Linked DNA regions of Caenorhabditis elegans. Each later gene encodes a partner of the first gene's protein in a complex. Each region holds a gene or a part of one and is shown in the gene's direction. Other genes may lie near its edges. The genes, in order: egal-1, bicd-1 and nud-2.

Region 1 (8,250 bases):
GAAGATTCATCATAACTGTAATATTAACACTTTGATATAAACATACTGAAACAGTGATTCTTTCTATAATTTTAACTGACCACTATTTATGAATGACCCTACTAATCATATCATATTATCTTCAAATACCAAAACATTCATAATTTCACATTTGCATTTTTGTATTTGCATACTGAAACAGTGAATTGTTTTACTTAAAAAAAGCCAATTGGCAAATTATTATTGAAATGCAGAAATTCAATAGAAACGTTCAAGTTTTATGTATACTGTATTCTTTATGAAATCTGTATACTGTACTACCAATAATGCTGTCATTTTTTTTTTCTATTTTTAATACATAGAAAACAGAATTTCAATCAACTTATTGAAAGTTCAATGGAAAAAATAAAGACATATTGGGACCATAGCCAGCTTTTCATTTAATATAGCTGTAATTCTCACATTTTTATATCAGCACAATGAAACGGTGCATTTTTTCTGCTAAACAATTTATGTTTTCCATAACTTGGCAATTGACAAATTATTATTGAAATTTTTTCAATTTTTAAAAAGAAAAGTTCATGTTTTAACATTCTTATACATTCTTACCAATACTGCTTTCATTTTTTTCAATTTTTATAAAAACAAGCTGAAACAGTGTTTTACTGTAGTCCTTGGGTAGATACGATGCAGTCATTTCCGTGCTCACTTGGAATGATTAGAGCTATTTAGTCTACATAAAACTGTTTAATATTTTACTGTAATGATGTGATCTTTCAATTTCATTATTTCAGTTGCCTTGTAAAATAAAAAAAATCTCGAAACAATTTTTTCATTCTTTTAATTTTCCTGGTATTTGTAGTTTTGAAGCTTATCAGTTTTAAAATTGTTATAACAACCCATTATTGTTGTTAAATTTAAATTTTTGTATCAGCATACCGAAACAGTGACACTTATATTTTGGCACTTATAATTTGAGTTCTTCATTATTTGTAAAACAGACTAATTATTAATGTGTTCTAGAAATGAACAATTAAAACAGTCATTTTTATTCACAATTTCTTTGGAAATTGGAGATTAGAACTTTTTATGAAAACTTCTTTTTTTTTGGTGGAAACTTGTGTTTGCCGCTAGTTGGTAATTGTGCAATTTTTGTTTAATTTAGAAATACGAAAACTCCTTGGAATGTTTCCTAAATTTTGATAAAATTTACATGGAAGAGCTGAAACAGTAGTTCTTTCCTATAGGGCAAATTTCCAAAAGTTCCTACATTGGGCTTTCTTTTTTAGAACAAATATTTAGAACAGTTAAAATACATAATTCAAGTTATGAAAGTGGGGCAATAAATACGTTGTTGTTTTCTTGTGATTTTACGAACTGTTTGACAGAATCCTTAATTTCAGAATTTGAAACAAAACATTTTTCACATTTCTTTACGTGCCTTAAAATATTCCTTGCATTTTTTTAAACTTTCATGAAACCAATCTGAAACAGTAAAATTTTTCAAATATTTTTATGAGCCAAATTTCAATTTTCGTCACATTTTTTAAACAGTTTTAAAACATTTTTAAAACAGCTAAATTGTCCAAGCAACACAAATATATTTTTTAGATCATCAAAACACTTTATTGAAACATGAAATATTTTTATGGAAGCAACGAGAATTTTTCTATAGGATGAATAATTCTCAAAATAATATTTTTTGTGAATTGCTGATGAGTCAGAAGTGTTAAATAGATAAGCTTTTGTCTCTGACCGGAAAAAACAGTACAATTTTACGATTTGAAAAAAGAACCGTTTTTTGTATATAAAAATGATATAAAATTCAAATGTCTTTACTTTGTATTATCCGGTTTTTAAAAATAAATTGTTTCCTTTAATTTTTTCAATGTTTCAATACATTTTCAAGTGTTCATTTCCAAACTCTTAGTTAATTTTCTTTCCCTACGCACTTAAAATTAATTTAATTTTTTGCAGGTAAGCCAAAAAAGCGTTCGCAGCCAATCTTGCGTTCATCTTTCATTTCACGGAAACACTTATCATTACACGTATCAATTAAAACCAAAAAAAGAAAATGGAGGAGGCAAAGAATATGGCTTTGCTCTTTTTTATGGACCATCTGATGCAGAAAAATGGGAGAAGAACAATTCATGATTTGAGTTGTCAATTTGGAGCACGCGGGTTTAGTGAAGAAATGAGAAATGCTGTTGGAACAACTCAAGAGGGATTAACCGAGTTTTTGCAGGTGAGGAGTGAACAAAATATTTTTTTACTGTTTCGACAAATTTTCAAGAATTTGTAATTTTGAAAAAATTTATTAATCGCGTTCTAGAATTTCTAAATTTTGTAAAGTTATACAAAAGTAAAAATCAAATTCCCATGCAATATCGTATTCATTCTTACAAAGTTTGTGAAAAATTAATTTAAAATTCACCGTAACATCCAGAACCTAGAACATTTAGATTTCCAGCTCCAATTTATTCAGAAAATTTTAATTTTTTTCATTGAGTTTTCAATTAAAATATTTCCACAAAAATTTAATATCCTGGCTTTTCAAAGAGGAATTAAATTTGATAAATTTTCTGAAAAAGTTTTTATTGTGTTTTTACTGTTTCAAATAACTCATATCTATGAGTAGCTGTGATTCGCAGGAATACCACGAATTCCTAGAGAACGGATCGCCTAAGTAAGTAAGTAAGTATATTCTATAGAAAATTTCAAAACCTTGAAAAATCTATAATTTTGAAATATTTATAGTCAATTTCACAAAAATTTAAAAAAAAACCTCCAGAAGAAACGAGTTTCTAAAAAAATCTTATTGTTTTCACATTTTTTACACATTTTTTTTGACATTTTACACATTGACATTGACATTTTTGACATTTTGACATTTTTCACTTTTTTTACGCCATTTTTCATTTTTACCATTTTTCACATTTTTTGAGAAACTGTTTTTGTCCGGAGAAAAAATGGAAAAATATCAAAAAAATAGTTCCTCCCAAAGAAAAAAACTAACAAAACTCAAAAGGCTACTATTTTCTACAAATTCTTACACAGTATCCTTTGAAAAAAAAAATTGAAAAATTATACGAAATGTCATATCTAGAAAATTTAGATTTTTTTAATTTTCAATTAAAATATTTCCACAAAAATTTAATATTGTTAATAAAATATCGATAATTTAATTCATTTCCAGGGTCATCCATCTCTGTTCACTGTCGAAGGAGATCAAGTAATTCTAAATGGGCATAATGATCTAAATGCAAAAAATAATCCACTTCTCCAATCGGGTATTCGTAGTCGAAATTACGAAAAAGAAGCCGTCGACTTTTTCGTCACAAAACTTACGAAATTCGGTCCAGAATTGCAAATAAAATCTCTATTGGGACATCGTTCTCAAGCTGCTCCAGAAGTTCGTCTTGTATCAGGACGTCATTTAAAGGAGTTTTGCGAGTTTTTGCAATCTCAAGTTGACTATTTTGTTGTTGAAGGTGATAGAGTTCGATTGAAGAATATGCCTGAACCAGATGAAAATGCAATTGAAATGGATGATGAAGGAAGACCTTTGGCTGGAGTTAAAGCTAAACAAGCAGCTGTAGAATATTTGAAATCAGTTTTGGAACAAAATGAAGATCAACCTATTCCATTGGATCAATTCTATCAAAACTTTTGTCAACGATTCTCTCACACTATTCGCCAGGATGTTGCTACAAATCCAAAAGAACTTCTTCAGTTTTTAAAATTGAATCGAGGACTTTTCTTCATTAGATCCAATAAAGTATCTCTCGTGAAGAATCGTCTAAATGAAGATGGATCTGAAAATGGATCAGATGAAGGTGAAGAGACAAATAATAATGGAATGTTTCCACTTGATCAAAGTGCATTGACAAGAATTCATTTTGTGAAAGCACTTAAACCGGCACAAGATTTAATTTCAAGACTGTGGCAGGATATTAATAACATGGAAAAGAAGGTTGTTGGATTGGATTTGAAAACTGTTACGGTCGGAGTTGATGGAGAAATCTTTTTGTCTTTGGGTGAGTTATTTTTCAAACAAAGTTGTTCGAAAAATTCTAATAATACTCTGAAATGTTATGATGCTCTATGACCAAGGAATGAAACAGTATTTAACAGTGGGGCTGCGTTAATGGAGATTGTGTTCTAAAACACCCAAAATAATCCTAAATTCAAAAATTCACGAAAAACAAAGGAAAACACTAAGAAAAAATAAAACATTCAGCATTAAAAATCAGGATTTTTAAATTTTTGCTACAGTCCCTGTTTGAATTTACTCGATTTTGTTCCTTTTTCTGTTGATTTTCTGAGACTATTTTGAGAATTTGAAAGCGAAAAACAAAATAATTACGACGAAAAGTTACAAAAATGACCAGAAACGTAAATCTCACGAAACAAGAAAACAGATTCAGGTCAACGTTTTACGGTTTTTTGCGGAAAAATTTCAGTTCATGAACTTTTTTTGGTTTTCTTTTTGTTTTCAAAAAAGAAAGAAAAACTGTTAAATCTTAAAATGAAGCTTTGATTGATACCTTTCTATGGCATAAATTTCAGCCAAAGACTTTGAAACCCTGGCAAAAAATATTATTTTGTCTCAATAAAGTCTGATTACTACTCTGAATTGTTTTGAGACACCTAAACCGACGATTTGTAACAGTAAAAATTGTTGAAATTTTCCAAACGGAACAAGTATCCATTGTGATCCTTGTGAAAGGGGGACTCTTTTTTGACTGATTTTAGCTGCCGGGGGTAGGAAACTTCTCAATTAGCTTTACATGGAACATGTATTAGAACGGTCACATGAAATTTTTAAAAATTAGTTTTTTTTTAGAAATTTCGAAAGTATGTTGCCCCAAGCCTTTGCCTCTTTTTAGGGTAATATCTTCCAAATTTTATTACTTTTTTTTTGAATTCCTGTTCAGTTCTGTTATTTTCAAAAAAACTACTCGCCATATATCATGCAAAAACAATCCGCGAAATGATGAGTTACCTTCAAGTTTTCTTAATTTCAAATATTTTTCATTAACGATATTTCGAGGTATTCTGTACCCAATATCTCAAAAAAATCCTGTTTCTTCATTATTGTAAAAAAATTTCAAAACCGTTAGAAACATTGAGACATTACAATGAATAATTCCAGGAGTGATCGCCACAACATCTCAAATCGGAATTTTCGATCTCGCCTCCAGTGACGTCATCATTTTGGAATCTGGATTCAAAGGGATTTTGGAGAGTGAGAAAGTGGTGAAAGTTATTCACGACGCAAGAAGAGTTGCATCTCTATTGGCTCATAAGTATGCAGTTCACATGAGAAATGTTTTCGATACTCAGGTAAGAAAATCGATTTTAATATTAATTTTGCAAAATTTCGCTAGGGAAATCTCAAATTTGTATTTCTAAAAATGGCCGAGAGCTCGGTATTCAAATTTTGAATTTTGAAACTTTTTCAAACTATCTTTTATATTTTATATAAGTTCACTAATATTCAGTTCAAATATCCCTCTAAAATGTACACCTAGAAAATGTATGAATTTTCAACGTTTTCATTCTAACAACTATATTTCAGGTTGCTCACTCACTTCTTCAACACGAGAAATTCAACAAATCTCTGAATGAAATGCGTCCAATATCATTCATCAACCTTCAACGTGTCTATTATCCACAGTCAATTATGCTCAGCGACGTGACTCCACGGAAAATGAGCATGTGCCCGAAGTGAGTCTCATCTTCTTTGTTAAAAAAATAAAATTTAAAAAAAAACAATAGGAAAAACACTGTCAGTAACTCCATAAAATCTTAAATTTACTTGTAAACTTTTTGAAACCGTAATTTTTTTTCATTCAACATTAACACATTCTGCTATAAACCTTCTATATTTTCAGCTGGGGTGTCCGACCAATCACAGAAGAATTCCAGTTGACAATTGTGGAAGAAGCTCATTGCCTTCTTTCAGCTCTCTATCAATCTCTCTCAAATCTGATTCCGGTGCATTTACGTGGTGTATTTGAAGATAAATGCATCGAGGTAAACCATCCAGAGGTTCGGTTTTGTTGATTTTTTGTTCAAAAATGCACCATTTAGTTTTGCATCATGCATATTATTCAGTTTTGTTTAGTTTTGGTTTAGTTTAGTTTAAGCTTTGAAAAACCTCATGAGCCTTATCAGTATCACCATTATCACTTTAGAATTGTTACCCATTATCACGATTATTTGATCCCCTTTCTTGAAAACATCTTGAAATTGTATACATTTTTTTACCACAAAATTGCAATGTTTAACCCAAAACTTTAATTTAATTTAAATTTAAATTAGAAAATTTTCTGAAAAAGACTCCAATTACAATTTTTTTTGTTTTTCCCGAAACCGAAACAGCGCCCAAAATGTAACTAAAAATTTAAAATTTTTCATCAAATACTTTTTAACGTTAATGTCTACTTGTACTTTCTACTTTCAAAATTAACTTTCCATATTATTCCAAATGATAAAGTTCTGGCACCGATTTTGCTAAGAAATTGACGAAGAATTATTTTTTTTTTCAATTTTTAAATCAAATTTTGAAATTTTTTTCGGGCAACAATTAGGCAATTCGACGCTGGTAAAGTTCCATTCTATCTATCATAATTTTCATTCGGACTTTAATTAAATACCTTATTTAAAACAGTGGGAAAAATAATTTAGATTTGAAATAGAAGTTTTGTAAACGATTGAACTGTTGAACTAAACAGTATTATTATATTTTGAGCAAGTTAAACTCCCCATCTGAAACGGTGGAAAATTTCAGCACTTCTTAAAAATATCTCGAATTTCAATTGAATTTTTTGTTCTTAAGTTAATTTATACAATTTTCCTACTTTTTCCCATCGAAAAATTCCAAAATTCCAGGTTCTCCTAGCATCACCCAATCGTCCACCACCTCAACCATTCATTTCTTCCCCATATCGTGCTTCAACTCGTCGTGATGTTCGAAATGGTGGATCAATAATGCAATCATTCTCACCAGCTCCATATGCAGCTGCTCCGCGTCCACAAATGTCGGATGCATGCACCCAAACGTTCTCAACGGGCGATATCGAAGTGCTCAACGTATTCTACGAGTAGTTAATTCTCATTTGATAATCATTCATTATTTTCTCTCTTTTCACCAAGAAATGCCTTCTCTGACAATACATCATCATCACTTTTTCCTCGTTTTCATTTGTTAAAAATTATTTAATGTGCAATAGAAACACTTTGCACGCTCTTCTTTTTGAAATTCAAAAAAAAAAACTTCTTTTCTCCAAAATTCACAGCTTTCAGTTTTCATCGGTGTATACAGTTAAATTTTATTTGGATTTTTTTTATTGTTTTTAATGAAAATTTATTACATTTTATATGCAGTTTCAAAAAAATTACAAAATGTTAAGCAACTCTCTTAGGTTTTATGTGGAAATCAACACTACACAAATTACTGTTTCACAATCAGAATCAATTTTCAATTTTTTAAATTTCCAAAAAATTTACCGTTTCTAGTCTTTTGTAAAATTTGTGTGAAATTTATAGTTTGAACCGATTCAAAGCATTTTCACCAATTGGATCATTCATCACCACACGTAGCACTTCTCTGAATACCTTGACAAACGTATTTATCTACGCGGGGCACTCAACAAGATCCTTTTGACGATTTCTGGCCATTTGTTTAGCTTGTGAATGCACAGTTATACTTTTATTTGGTTTTTTATGTTTCAAATGAAAGTCTTATAAAATATTGAATACAGTTTCAATACACTTGCAAAATTTCAATCACTGCGCCCATTTTCGATTCGTGTATGCATATTCCGACAATCTTCTAATAATTATTCACTCATCAAGATTTGCAATCAAAACTATTAATTTCACCCAAATTTTACAAAAGTCTAGAAACGGTAAATTTTTTGAAAATTTAAAAAATTTAAAATTAATTTCAATTTGTCGCCTTGAACAACATTGTTTTTTTGTTACCTACTGCTTTTATTTGAATTTGTACTAAAATTATATCTTACAACAAGAAAAGAACTAGAAATAGTTGTTACCAAAAAAATAAGCAATTATCAGTCAGTCACTCAAAGTTTATAAAAATCGAAAAACAGTAATTTATTTGGTAGTATTTTAACACCTCAGAATGTATTCAAACTTCAGTTCTTCGAACAACAAAGCCATTTTCTCTATTTGCATTTTTATTCATCTAAATTTATACTAAAAATTACATTTTATAACAAGAAAATACTGCAATTGCTGAAA
Region 2 (8,386 bases), 740 kb from region 1:
GGGGTGGACCTTTATGTTGGATATATTTTTATAAAGTTTTTGAAGATTTCGAAACCTTTTCCCTTCTTTCTTGATTGTTTTGTAAAGGATTTTTCTATCATAGAGCCGAGAAAATATCACATTAATTTTCTGTATTTTTGAATGAAGTCTATAAGACAAAGTTATAAATTTATAGAGATACTTTATGTATGTTTTTGAGATTTATTTTGTTACTAGATCTCAATTTTTCAATGGCATTTTAGTACTGTAGAGTGCAAGAGAAATCTAGCCTTATTCGAGAAATAAGTTTTTTACTGTTTATATTTTTTGATAAGTTTTTCAAAAATTTTGTTCGTTTAATGTACATCTTTTTTTTTAGTTCCAAGCGAAACACAATATTATTTTTCATACTGTAATACATATATTCGATTATTAATCAAAAATATTTTTTGTGTTGTTTAAAAAATTGTTTTTAAATTACAAGAAAAATTGCATGTCTGCAAAACTTTGATCGACTTCTGCAAATTTTTTAATAAGCTTCTACGAGTTTTACCCAACTGTTCTCTTGCATACGTAATTTAAATTTTTTCTCGTTTGATTTTTTTTTGTTATAATGACTAAAATGTTGTAACAAACCAATAAAAAAGAACACATAATAAAAATACCCAAAACAGAATTGGTTGGAAAAATATGCAATAGTTTGAAACATTACCCGAATTCTGAAAGGTTTTTAAAGTGAAGTAGCAAAATTTTTCAATTGATTGAAACATTAGAAAAGAGCCAAAACTTTCAAAAAATCTATACTTAGCGCTAAGACTGTCATTTTTTGTCGCAGCGTCTGGAAATGAATTGTTATAAAAGCATGATCAGTTATCACACTATTTTGTAGTATATTTTAAATTTATTGGAATACAAATGTTTCAAAATTTGAATGCCAGTAGAGTGCTTTAAACAATTCCGGAATAAAGACTCAAACTAGAAAATTAAGATGATAAATTGAAAAGTTGAAAAAAAGCCCGTTTCTAGATTTAGACTTTAGGAGAATGCGATTTTTAAAAATAATTTTCATCCGGCATAACTAAAAAATTTTCAAAATTTTCAAGAAATCACATTATGAAATTCGGCCATTTATGCTCATTTATAAACAATTGTAGTTAATTTTTGTACAATTTCTGTCGCTGAGTGCAAAAATAAGTAACCAAAGTCTTCAGAGCATTAAGGTAGTTTCGCCCAAAAATTTAAATTCTAGGTTTAAGCTTAAAACGAGAGCTATTCTTTGACAGTTATTACTCGCATGGTTAATATCAGTTCCTTGAAAATCAATCAATAACCCCAAAACCATATCATTTTATGTGACTAAACTTTCCTTCCAAAAAAAAAAGAAAAAAATGATCTGACTCATCAATTTCCGGTGATTTCCCCCGTCTTCCGTGCTCCACCCAGAACGGTTTGCGGAGGCATTAGAACAGTAGTCTCGCCCCGCATTTGTGTCGATTTTGGCTGCCGAGTGAACAAAAAAAACGAAACAGCACTCAATATTTGTGTCAGGTCAGCCACTCTTTCTTCCATTCTCTTCTATTTGTTTTTTGTTCATTTCTATTCCCTATTTCTCTCTATTCTCTTTAGTCCATTCTTCATTTCATAATTCTACTGAAACTAGTGTTACCTCTATCTCTAAACTCTCCTCTCAACCTGTACTATTTCTCTCGCGGGAGCCGAAAACGAAAACCTTATGAATATACAATTAGTTTTTCGACACCCTCTCCTAGTCGACAAAACGCAAATTTCCAAAATTGAACCTGTCGCACTAATATCTTGGAAATTTTGAAATTTACTTATTCCTGGTTTTGTTTAATTTTTGTTTTTAAAAGAAAATGTGGTCATTTGAGAACATTTTATTTAAATTTAAATTTTTAAATTTTTTCCTGTTTCAAATTGTAATTATTTCAACAATTTTTTAAAGGAATACTCAGTGAAGTATTTTTCCCCCTTTTTAAGTTATTTTCATGTTTGATATTTCCAACTCTCTAACATTTAAATTTCAGCAGCCACAATGGCTGAATCAGAATTGGAGAAGCTTCGTCAGGATATTGCAATCCTTACAGAAAAATATGAACAAGCCAAAGAAGATATTCATAAGGCAGCAAATGCGGGTTTAGAATTGCTCCGTCAAAAGGAAGATCTAGAGAAACGATTAGCAGAGATGCAGGCAGAATTGGATTTGGCAAGAACTGAAATTGATAAAACTAATCAGGTAAGTATTCGATTTCGAAAATAAAAATCGGAAAAAATATTGAAAAAAAATTAATGTTTCAAGTAAATGGTAAATATTCGAAATTTTTCGTACTATTTCATTTATTTTTAAAATATAAGCATGCAACTATCAAAAAAATTTTATTCAGACTTACGCAGGTAGGTAACAAAAATATAGGAAAATTTTTCACTTTTTTCGTTTTGTTGCAGTCATTCTTACCATTTTTTTTAAATATTTCATAAAATTTTGAACTGTAAAAATATAGAAAAATGAACAATCAACATTTTTGTCAGCTTACAATTTTTGATGAAGATGTATGAGCTGCCAAAATTGAGCTTAACAAAAGACTAGTAAAGTGTTAACAAAATTATTATTGAAGCTCAAGTTGTTCAAGTTGCTCTTATTTTCAGACTCTTGCTGAATACCGTTCCCAACATCAACGGTCCACTCGAAGTGAACTCGAAAATGAAGAATCTCTACTCGAGGAAAGTTCAGCAAAAGAAGAGGAATATCTACAGAGAATTGCAAAATTAGAAGCAGATCTTAAGAAAAAAGAACAAGAATTGGCAGAAAAGAAAGAAGAATTGGAAAGTATTGAAAAGAAACATTCGAAAGAAATCGATTCTGGAGCTGCATTAGAAGATGAAAGAAGAAAACTTAGAGCTGAATTAAAAGAAACAAAAGAAAGAGAACAAAGATTAATTTCTGAATATTCAGAGTTAGAAGAAGAAAATATTGGATTACAGAAGACTGTTGCAAATTTAAGAGGAAGTCAAGTGGAATATGAATCATTAAGAATTGATAATAATCGATTGGAAGAGACTATTGAAATTATGAAAATGGCTGCAGAGGAAGATGAAATATTAAGAGTTATTGCTGACAAACAGGTGAGACACTTTGAAAAATTACAACTCTCTCAGAAACTTTAACAAGTTTTCCTAAAAATATGTGAATAATTTCAAACATTTCCCTATTTGTTTGGAATTGCAACTGCAAAAACATTATGAAATTTTCATGTCTATTCACTATTTATTTTTGATCACGATTTGAATCGTAATAAATACAATACAATACAATACAAAATTTATTAGGTGATTGAAACAGTAAAAAAAACGAAAACTAGACAACTTTTATTTTAATTTTATAACCTGTTATTATTATTTTATAGCTCCCGTTTTTCATTGAAATTTTTGAACGGGTCGCCTCAATGTATATTTTCAAAACCTCAATTTTTGTATGAAAAACTTTCCAACTTATCATAAATATTTCAGCTCGAAGAAGCTCTGCTCACAGCTCAACAAGAACGGGATCAGCGATTGGCAATGAAAAGAGAATTAGAACAGACAAGAAATGCAGAGCATATCAGTAGTTTAAATGATATGCTTTTTGGATTGGAAAGGCTTGGGGAGGTTTGTTTTTTTTGTTAAAAAATTAAAACAATTAACTTTTAATAAAAGTTTGTTTTCCTATTTTAAAAGTTCCTGTGAAATTTTGTTAAAACACTTATATACAAAATGTCTTTTGTATACGTGAATTTTAAAAATACATTTGATAACTGATAATTTGAAACTAAACTTAACAAGTTGGGAAGAAAAAATTGCTCTTAAAGAAAAATGAGCTTCACATGTTTCGTATTCAATTTATATTGGCCAAGAGGAGTGTTGTAGGCTTGTTCTTTCGGTATCGATTTTTCTATTATTTAGTCAAATGTTATTTTAATATTTCTGTGTTCAAAAGGCGCATGAAATGGCAGAAACACTTGAATTAATTGTTGAATGAAAGTGTGGCACATGCTTTTAACGGACCACACGCTCAACACCAAACATTTTTGTATAAATCTTATGAAACAGTAATTTTTTAGGACGGCGAACTGCCACCTCCACAACCTGGAGCAAGTGACCTCTTCAGTGAATTACAAGGATCAAGTGATGTAAAAGTTCGTGAACTGGAAGCTGCAAAGGAAGGACTTCAAGAAGAATTAAAGAGCAGAGAGAAGATTTTCATCGAATTTGTAACCGGATTAGCAGACACCCTCAATATTCATAGACCAACAAGTGAGTTTAAATAGAACATTTCAGTTTGATTTGGAGTGTGATAAACCATTGAAGACATGGTGAAAAGTTATAACATTCAATTTTCACCAAATTTTTCAATGTTTCACATTCATTTCATATTGGTCAACGGTAGTATTGGAGTCTAGCGTAGATGTATGTAGTTTTTCAGAGTTTTCAGGGTTTTGGGTGAATAAAAGCTTCGCAAATTTCCTTTAAAATGAATATTTTATCATATTTACAATTAGTTATATTCAAAATTATTCAATTTTTAAAAAATTAGTTCCCCCGTGCATTCCCTAACAAAGTTTTCTTTACAGATGAGCTCGACTACATGCATGCTCGTCAACAAAAAGACGTTGTACTAGAGAAAATCCAGAACATTGCTCGTGACACTGACCGTCATGATAAAGAAGGAGAAGAAAAACGATCGGGAATTTTGAAGGCTGATTTGAGGACACTTGTATTGGTTGCTGGAGAGAAAAGTGCTCAGTTGGCAGCTGCTCAAGTTAGTTTTTGAATTAAATCATAAAAGTTTCATATTGCGAACCAAATTAAGAACATTATGAAAATGTAAATGTTGAAAATTCAGGACGCAATGATTCAAGTCTCCGATCAACTTTATCAATTCTACCATCAAATGACACAGAACCAAGGAGTTCAAACAGAAAAGAGTGTACAAGAGGTAAATTTTATTTTAATATTTATAGAAAATGAACAGAACTTTGTATATTTCAGATTGTGAAAAAGTTGCGTCTATTGGCTCGTGCCAATGCAGAAGACGTTCCACGTGTCTCGTTGGCAGATGAAGGAGTTGAAAGTGGAACAGAGACAGATGTTAATGCATCAAGATCAATTCCATTGAATTCCGATCGTCTTGTTATTGCGCCAAGTTTTGCGAAGGAAATTGAGAAAAAGTTGGCAAGTGTCAAGATTGGCGATGTGTTGTCAGAGACTGATTTGAGGCAAAGAATACTTACTGGTTTGTTTAGTTTTTGAATCGCAAAAAAGAGCTGGATACAAAACTTTTCCAAAAATGTACAAGTTTTAGAGAAGATGCTACAATTAAAAAAAACAACGAGATTTTACGAAAGACAAATAAAATTACTGTTTCAACCAACTTTTATCATAAATTGGGTTTATATTAGCTATTTGAGTCGAGGTTTCAACACTACATTGAATTTACTGTACTTACTGTATACTTAGTATACTTAGAATACTTACTGGTTTGTTTTTGAATCGAAAAATTCAAAAAAAGAGCTTTGCCAAAAGACAATTCTTCTTCAAATACTTCATTTGGTTGAAAATATTTGGAATGTCTAGCAATATTTAAATCGATTAATAGAAGCAGGAAAAATTTATTTTTTATTCGAATTAAATTTTTCAAGAATAATTATTAGTTTTAGAGAAGTTGCTGAAATAAAAAAAATTTTGGAAGATAAATAAAATTACTGTTTCAACCAACTTTTTTTTTCCATAAATTGGAATTCTATGAGCAGTATGTTTTTCAATATTGCATTGAATTTACTACTTTGTATCAAACATTCATTTAAGGTTTGATGGCGTTAAATTTAAAGAGTGATTAAGACTCTTGATATTAAACGTTACAACTTTCAATTTGCCAATATACATCTCATTCTCACATTCGAATATATTAAATACATTATTTTCAGAAGGAAATGCCATTTCCGAAACCACAGAATCGTTGAAAAAGATGATTCAAGTGGTGAAAAGAACCTCTGAACAAGCATTCAATCAAGCAGTTATGGCAAGTGGAGCTGAAAATGAAATTGAAATGCAGAATATGAAATTGCGAAGTCTTTTATCAACAAAACGAGATCAGATTTCAACGCTTCGAACTGTTTTGAAATCGAATAAGCTGACTGCTGAAAGTGCATTGACTTCAATGAGAGAAAAATATGAATCAGAAAAGAAAATGATGATGGAAATTAATGATAAAATGAGAAGAGAATTGAAACAATTGAAGGAAGATGCTGCCACGTTTGCATCTCATAGGGCAATGTTCACTGCAAGAGGAGAGGAACTCAAGTCAAAGGTATTTAGTTTTGTTTTGAAACAGTTAGGAATTTCTAATTTCGGGAAAAGTATAGCTTTTATAATATGACATACGGTAGCTCTGTTTAATTACTAATTCAAACATTTCCATTCCAGATTCCCTATTACAAAATAGATATACTTAAATTGTATCTGTAGTAGTTGAAACAGAAACTATTTTTAATATTTAAACTTTTTAGGGTTATTAACTTTTACTTTGAATTATTTTTCTCGTTGGAAAAAAAATCGTTTTCTCAAAATTTACAAATTTTTATTTGGAGTCAAGTTTCTGACCTGGCAGCTTAATGAAAATTTCTCAAGTTAGTTGCTTTCTCAACAGCTAAACGTTAACAGATATTGACTATAGTTTGACAGAAGTTGTCAAGTTTTTAAAGAAAGTTTCCCCCAAATGCCGAGTTGATAGATGCGATCATCTTCTAATTAAAACTTTCCGTAAATGAAATTACTGTTTCACAAAGGATTTATTTTGAATTGAACTTCATTTTAAGTTGATAGTCATAGGGGTATATCTAACCATTTTCTCACTTCTATTGTATCTGTAGCAGTTGAAACATACTTTTTTTTTAATTTTCATCTTCGTACAGTTTGTTTACTTTGAATTATTTTTAACATTTAAAACTCGATTTGTTTTTTACTTGAATTTAGTGTCTGAACTCTGAATTTGAAAAAAACATATGGTCAAAACGCAATATTTTATCACTTTAATCGTATCTGGAGTAGTATCTTCTGTAAATTTTAAAATCAAATTTAACAATTTTCCAGGTGGAAGAACTATCAAACGAGTTGCGTGCAAATGAAGAGGAAAAGAAGACATTAAATCAACTTCTTCGTTTAGCAATTCAACAGAAGCTCACATTGACTCAACGTTTAGAAGAGGTTGAAGTTGATCGGGATAGGCAGGTATTTAAGAGGAGTAGTACAAGAGCTCCAACTAGAGAGGTGAGATATTAAAGGTGTAGTATCGTCCAATGTGACGTCTTTAATGGAATCACTGATTAAAAACCATAAAAATTAAAACAGTCTTTTTTTTAAAAATTTTTTTAAAAATAACTTTTTTAAAGTTCTTTATGACCCATTTTCTCTAATTTGAAGAAAAATCTCAACAGACGATACTCCGCCTTTAATTATGTTCACTGTTTCAAAACATTCACAAAAAAATGTTGAAATTTCAAAAAGCAATGATTTTTTGATATACAGAACACATTGGAAGGCGGATTGTTTCTTTTGGGGAATTTTTTCGAAATTTATTTGATATGCCAAGAATAACAAAGAAAAAACGAAAAAAATTGGAAAATTTAGTTTAAAACGATAAAAAAAACCTTTTAACAAAGACACAAATCTTTCGCCAAACGTACAAAACTGCCTTTTTAATATGACAATCCAATCTTTTTAAATCTTCAATTGATTGGTATGGAAATGCAGAAAAAACTTTAATTTTGGTGAAAAGCTTGAAAAAATCTTGAAATAGTGCTCGAAAGTTGAAGTTTTGCCAAAAAACTTTACGCACTTTTAGCTACAAACGGCAATTTTCAAGCACTATGTTATGATTTTCTGGAAAAGTTTTCGACAAAATTAAACTTTTTCTTACTTTGAAAAATCCAAAAAAATTGTTTTTTTCTTCTAGAAGTTAATTTAATCTTCTCCGTTTTCAGACCTACCAGCCACCGAGAGCAGTTCGTTATCCGGGTTCAACAACAACAGCTCAACAGCCAGCACCTTCATCTTCGGGGGGCTCGAGGGGAGGGCCACGCAGGGGAGACAATCAGCAATAAGCTGGTGGTCAGGTGATGACGTGACAACGATGAGAAGACGACGAACACCTACACCAGAGGATCCAAATGATCAAGAATCAATTAATACACAAAACCACGTCATCACCACGTGGCCCTACGACCTGAAAAATGAAGAAGATCCCCAATTATTGATTGATTTAATGATGGAAGAGATGAGAGTTGAATCTGAAATTGAAAGAATGCGATTAGCACTTAAAGAACAAGAATCGATATTCGCTGATTGTCAATTTGTT
Region 3 (4,669 bases), on another chromosome or scaffold:
TGTCTTAGTCTTTCTCCCACACCATACTGACTCATTTTTGATGGTATTTGGCGTCATTGCCTGAATTCAAAATTGTTGTACTGTTTCAAATAGGAGTCTTGCCTGTTTGCTTATTAATTTTAAATTTTTAAATTGAAATTCCCTGTTAACCTGGTTGGGTGGACGATTTCGAGATTTATCGTCATGAAAAGATGGCTTTGAAATTATTATTTTCCACTAGGCCAAATTCAAAATTCTTCGTTGAACGTTTTCAATTAATTTTCCGGGCGAGCATTGAAAATATATGTATTACTGTAGTTCTCTTAGTACGCAAGTTTTTTAATGCAGCATATTTGACGACATATTGTGTAACAGATTTTTGAAACCATCTTTTAAACTAAATGTTTTTTCTTCTTTTAATTTTCAACAATTGCTTTGAAATTTTGCACCATTTACTCTTTTACGAAATTTCTGTCTTCTATTCTTGGCAGTTTTGAGTGTTTCTAAACTCGGCATTTTCATTGCTAAACACGTATTTACTCAGCTTTTGCTTGCCCCCGAACAAAAAAGTTTTATGATCAGTTCAGTTTGTCAGAGCACCAAAATGTCAACACAGAGCTCTCGCTCTTCGATTGGCACTTTACGAGTGAAGTCAAATACTGATTTGATAGGCTTCTCAATGTGGAGGAATCTTTTGCGACGATCGCTTTCTTTTTTTGTTCACCTGTTCGTACTATTCAATTCTTCAGCAGAGTGATGTTAACCTTGATCGTGTCATGTCGACCTGAATAGGAAATAGATGAATCGTATAGTTTGTGTGTATGTGAAGCACTTTTCTCGTTCATTTACATTTTCGAATATCAAATTTAGGTGTGGTACTGCGGCGCGGGAAAAAACGCGAAAAACAGATTATACCACCCCCAACTCTCCTCGTGACGTGGCCCAGTGATTCGTGAATCCTATATTAACCGCTGAAATTGGTCATTTATTATCTCAACCGGTTTCGTGTTTCTGTTCACTAATTCGTACGATTTTCTGTGTTCACCACACCTAATCCAATTAGAACTCAACAACTCGATGAGTCATGCGTAGGCGTTTTGGAATTTCATTTTTTAAATGTTTGTTAATACATTTCATTCTCTCCAAATTCTCACTTACATCATTAGTCTCAATCGTTACAACTAAATTGACCCGCTTAACTTGAAAATCTTTCAAATAATATGCTCAATATATTCTGCATTCCTTATTCTATTTGTTATCAGTTATTATACGCGACCATTGCCGCTCCCCATTCCTCCGACTGCTGCCTATCGTGAGTTTGACCTGAATTTCGTGTGGGAAATTGGACTGTTATATGAATTTAATTTCTATTTCCGAAGTTTAATTATCGATTACTAAAATTGATTGCCATTTCTGGAATACTCTTTGAAGAAATTTACCAATTTTTCTTTTAACACAGATTTTCTTGAATGACTATTCTATTCTATTTACAAAAAGTGTTAATTTTTTCGGAATTAGTTTCTTATAGCAGATTTCTTTGAACTTCATCAGTGTATTAAACCCAAAAAACAGTAAAATTTTCCTTCAAAGTATTTTGAAATCTTCAAAGGTTATCTGATCTTAAAATTATTGCCTATTGGTGTTACTCGCACAGCTGTTCGACTTTTTGTAGCGGAAGTGCGGACGAGCTATGGGAGCAAGGACAAACACAGAGCACACGGCGGCCGGAGCAGCCGGAGCACCCCCACTTTTTTGTTTGCTCGAATGCCTTGTGTCAAAAACTTTGGAGGATTTTCCATCTTTCCTCAGAGAGATGACTTTAGCTGTCTATCAGATGATGGCGACCTTAGATATCCCGATTTATAAGAATACTGAGACTTTTCTTCAACATCGTTAAACCTCAAAAAACATCCATTTGCGGTAGCAACTAATACGTAGTTGCTTCTGTTTTCCTCCGTTCGACCAGTTCTCTTTTTCTCTCTTTCCCAAATGTCCATTCTATTCTCTCACTTTTTGTCCACACGTGGCCGAACGTTGTAAGGGTTTAGTGTGTTCACAGGCGGCATTATACGTTTTTTCCTACGATTCATAATTTTTGTTGAATATCCTGAACAATTTTCTAAACCTTTAATATTTTCAGATCATCAGAAATCAATGGATTTGTCTGAGGATCAAATTCGCGGACTACCGCACCATGAGCTTCTTGGTCATTTCTTGCAAATGCGCGAAGAGTTTAACGAGTTCCAGACAAGTTCCGCGGAAATTGAGAAAATGATGGATTCAGAATTGGATGATTTGAAAACACAACTGAAAAAAGCAGAAACCAGAGTACAGCAGATGACCACAGAGCAAATTAGGAACAAGGTTGGTACTATTTTTTACATTAAAATTGAAAAAAAAAACTTTATAAAATTTTTCAACTATAATTTGAATTTTGTGAATTTTAAAGGATCGACAGGACGATTCCCGTGTACAATTTGCACAAGTCGAAGAGCAATTAAGACGAGAAAACTCACATCTTCATGAACAATGTGAAAGTCAGAGAGAAAGAATTCGAAAACTGGAACAGAGAAACGATGTGCTCGAAACATCAGAAAGAAATAAGGAATATCTAGCATCTGATCTCGGATCGAAACTGGATCATGCTATTGAAAAGATAGCAATGTTGGAAAGTGAGCTTTATGAACGGCAAGTTGCTGCTGAAGAAATGCATAGATTACGAGAAGAACAACTTCGAACAACAGAACGGCCACGTTTGATTGTAGAACCATTGAGGAATGATCCAGAAATTCTGCCGGACGAGCCATCCCCAGGTCCAAGTAAAGAAGAGTTTAAAATGAGTAAGTATTTGTCGCATTTTGAGAATGAAAATAACTAGTACTATTTAAGGCTCGGAAGATGTTTTCATGGAAGACGTGCAGCACCACGAAGATGTTCGAATGGAGGAAACTATTGCAAAAATTGACGAAGTGCGCATCGATGACAATAAAAATATTCAAGAAAAAGTACGTAAATTTTCTTTTTTTGGTGGATTTTTGAAAGTAAATATCCAAATATTAATTCAAAGAAGACCTGCAAATTTCGATCAATTAATAGCTTCACACCTTATTTCGGAATGAAAAACATTTAGTCGAAAAACTCTTGCAGCGAGTTCTAATTCTTTTTTCCCTCACAACTATAAACGATAGCATCTCTAGATGCAGAATAGACCGAAAAAACAATATTTGCTAACCCATTTATAGTTCTCAGCCAACATTTACATAGCTTTCAGAGCCAACGAGTATCTACCGGTACGGGCGCCGGTGCTTGCATCAATCGAATCGTCAAAGACCTGATGACAAAAGTCGAGCGGCTCGATTCAATTTTATCGACGATTCGCGTGAGCAACAACTCGTCTAACAACAATTCCAGTCATCTTACAACGACACGGGCTTAACATTTCATTTTTTGGTTTTTCTCACCTTTCTCGCATACTGTGACTTTTCATTCACTCAGGGATCCTCCATTTCATCATTTCCTTCGTTTCTTTCCGTTATTATTCTTTTCCATGACATCCTGTATCATGCTTATGTTTTATTCCCACCCAATTGGTATTAGACCCCGATTTTATTTGCCCCGCCTTACTGTTGCTCAATATAAGTTCCACGTTCGCCATTCACCCACATTATTTTCCAAATTTCTAAAGTGCCTACATATTTCTAATTTTTCTGTTAAAAATTTATATATCCGTCACCATGAATAGTTAGTAAAGGAATGATTTCAAGAAAAAGTGAGCAAAATAAATAAATAAATACAATTTGAATTAATCTTTCTAGCAATTTTTGGAGACAGAGAACGCCAGCATTCGTCCTATCACCGAGTTGTCACAACAGCACTCAATCGATTTTTCTGAAACTGTCAGAATACAAACATCCTTTCGTGAACGTGTCTGGCAAGTGAAAATGGTCAAATCCGAAGAAAATGCGTTAACAAATAGAGCAATTGACGAAGGATTAATGGGATTTTCGAGTTGTATCACATGCCGATTGAGACCTCCAAGACGACTTCTTTCTTTTGAAATATCTTCTGGAGACAGACGAATTGGTTGAACTTGCTCACCATATGGGACCTAGAATTTAGGAAAAAATTTAGTTTATCTTTAAAAGATGCGGATTGTGGAATCTAGTCAGGAATTATACAAGTTTTGATATAAAATATTAACCATCAAGGGAGTATTTACGTTTTTCAATTTTTTTTGTGGAAAAAATAATTTTAAAAGCCTCTGAAACTATTTAAAAGATTACCTCAAATCTGAAATGCTTCTCATGACCATCATCTCTTGTAAGTATCCATTCTCTACTTGTCGCACTATCTCCAAAATCTACGAGCAAATCAACAGAAACTCGTGCTCCAGACGGAATATCTCCAATAATCGAGTTTCCCTTCACATCGAGACCTTCTTCAGTTTTTAATTCAACTCCTAACAAATCTCCATCGGTTTTGTTTGTGATTCCAAATCGAATAGCCGTGTATTGTCCATCATTAATACGCGGATAACTAATTGATAATATTAGCCCGTTTCCTTCAATTACATTCAAAAGTTCAATTTCTTTTTCTTCGATATGAGTTGCATCCATTATTTGACGACTTCCCGCGGCCGAGAAATCAACGTCAATCAGCAAATCGAGATCATTTCTTTCTGTTTTTGGCT

Evidence for each region.
Region 2: egal-1 (region 1) and bicd-1 share a complex: the UniProt entries of both Caenorhabditis elegans proteins name them as parts of the dynein-regulating complex.
Region 3: egal-1 (region 1) and nud-2 share a complex: the UniProt entries of both Caenorhabditis elegans proteins name them as parts of the dynein-regulating complex.

What each region holds. Positions count from the first base shown.
Region 1 is NC_003282.8:5,822,837-5,831,086, forward strand, and holds egal-1 (Egalitarian protein homolog), read left to right. Parts: upstream 1-1,956; 5' UTR 1,957-2,053; coding exon 2,054-2,224; intron 2,225-2,296; exon of another isoform or gene 2,297-2,321; intron 2,322-2,633; exon of another isoform or gene 2,634-2,654; intron 2,655-3,175; coding exon 3,176-4,016; intron 4,017-4,037; exon of another isoform or gene 4,038-4,058; intron 4,059-4,584; exon of another isoform or gene 4,585-4,605; intron 4,606-5,108; exon of another isoform or gene 5,109-5,129; intron 5,130-5,134; coding exon 5,135-5,325; intron 5,326-5,451; exon of another isoform or gene 5,452-5,472; intron 5,473-5,560; coding exon 5,561-5,709; intron 5,710-5,753; exon of another isoform or gene 5,754-5,774; intron 5,775-5,876; coding exon 5,877-6,033; intron 6,034-6,170; exon of another isoform or gene 6,171-6,194; intron 6,195-6,257; exon of another isoform or gene 6,258-6,278; intron 6,279-6,588; exon of another isoform or gene 6,589-6,609; intron 6,610-6,694; exon of another isoform or gene 6,695-6,715; intron 6,716-6,876; coding exon 6,877-7,092; 3' UTR 7,093-7,363; downstream 7,364-8,250. UniProt on the Caenorhabditis elegans protein: Part of a complex with bicd-1 and dlc-1, which is recruited to the nuclear envelope by unc-83, where in turn, it recruits dynein to the nuclear surface and regulates nuclear migration in hypodermal precursor cells.
Region 2 is NC_003282.8:6,565,975-6,574,360, reverse strand, and holds the start of bicd-1 (Protein bicaudal D homolog), read left to right. Parts: upstream 1-2,024; 5' UTR 2,025-2,032; coding exon 2,033-2,233; intron 2,234-2,643; coding exon 2,644-3,120; intron 3,121-3,504; coding exon 3,505-3,642; intron 3,643-3,902; exon of another isoform or gene 3,903-3,923; intron 3,924-4,016; exon of another isoform or gene 4,017-4,037; intron 4,038-4,094; coding exon 4,095-4,287; intron 4,288-4,604; coding exon 4,605-4,792; exon of another isoform or gene 4,793-4,810; intron 4,811-4,876; coding exon 4,877-4,969; intron 4,970-5,022; coding exon 5,023-5,266; intron 5,267-5,435; exon of another isoform or gene 5,436-5,457; intron 5,458-5,957; coding exon 5,958-6,340; intron 6,341-6,443; exon of another isoform or gene 6,444-6,464; intron 6,465-6,847; exon of another isoform or gene 6,848-6,873; intron 6,874-7,122; coding exon 7,123-7,299; intron 7,300-7,539; exon of another isoform or gene 7,540-7,560; intron 7,561-8,012; coding exon 8,013-8,132; 3' UTR 8,133-8,386. UniProt on the Caenorhabditis elegans protein: Part of a complex with dlc-1 and egal-1, which is recruited to the nuclear envelope by unc-83, where in turn, it recruits dynein to the nuclear surface and regulates nuclear migration in hypodermal precursor cells.
Region 3 is NC_003279.8:7,856,868-7,861,536, reverse strand, and holds nud-2 (Protein nud-2), read left to right. Parts: upstream 1-2,119; 5' UTR 2,120-2,133; coding exon 2,134-2,343; intron 2,344-2,428; coding exon 2,429-2,819; intron 2,820-2,868; coding exon 2,869-2,984; intron 2,985-3,250; coding exon 3,251-3,415; 3' UTR 3,416-3,781; downstream 3,782-4,669. Other genes in the region: apb-3 (AP-3 complex subunit beta), read right to left, coding at 3,791-4,087, 4,263-4,669. UniProt on the Caenorhabditis elegans protein: Part of a complex with lis-1, which is recruited to the nuclear envelope by unc-83, where, in turn, it recruits dynein to the nuclear surface and regulates nuclear migration in hypodermal precursor cells.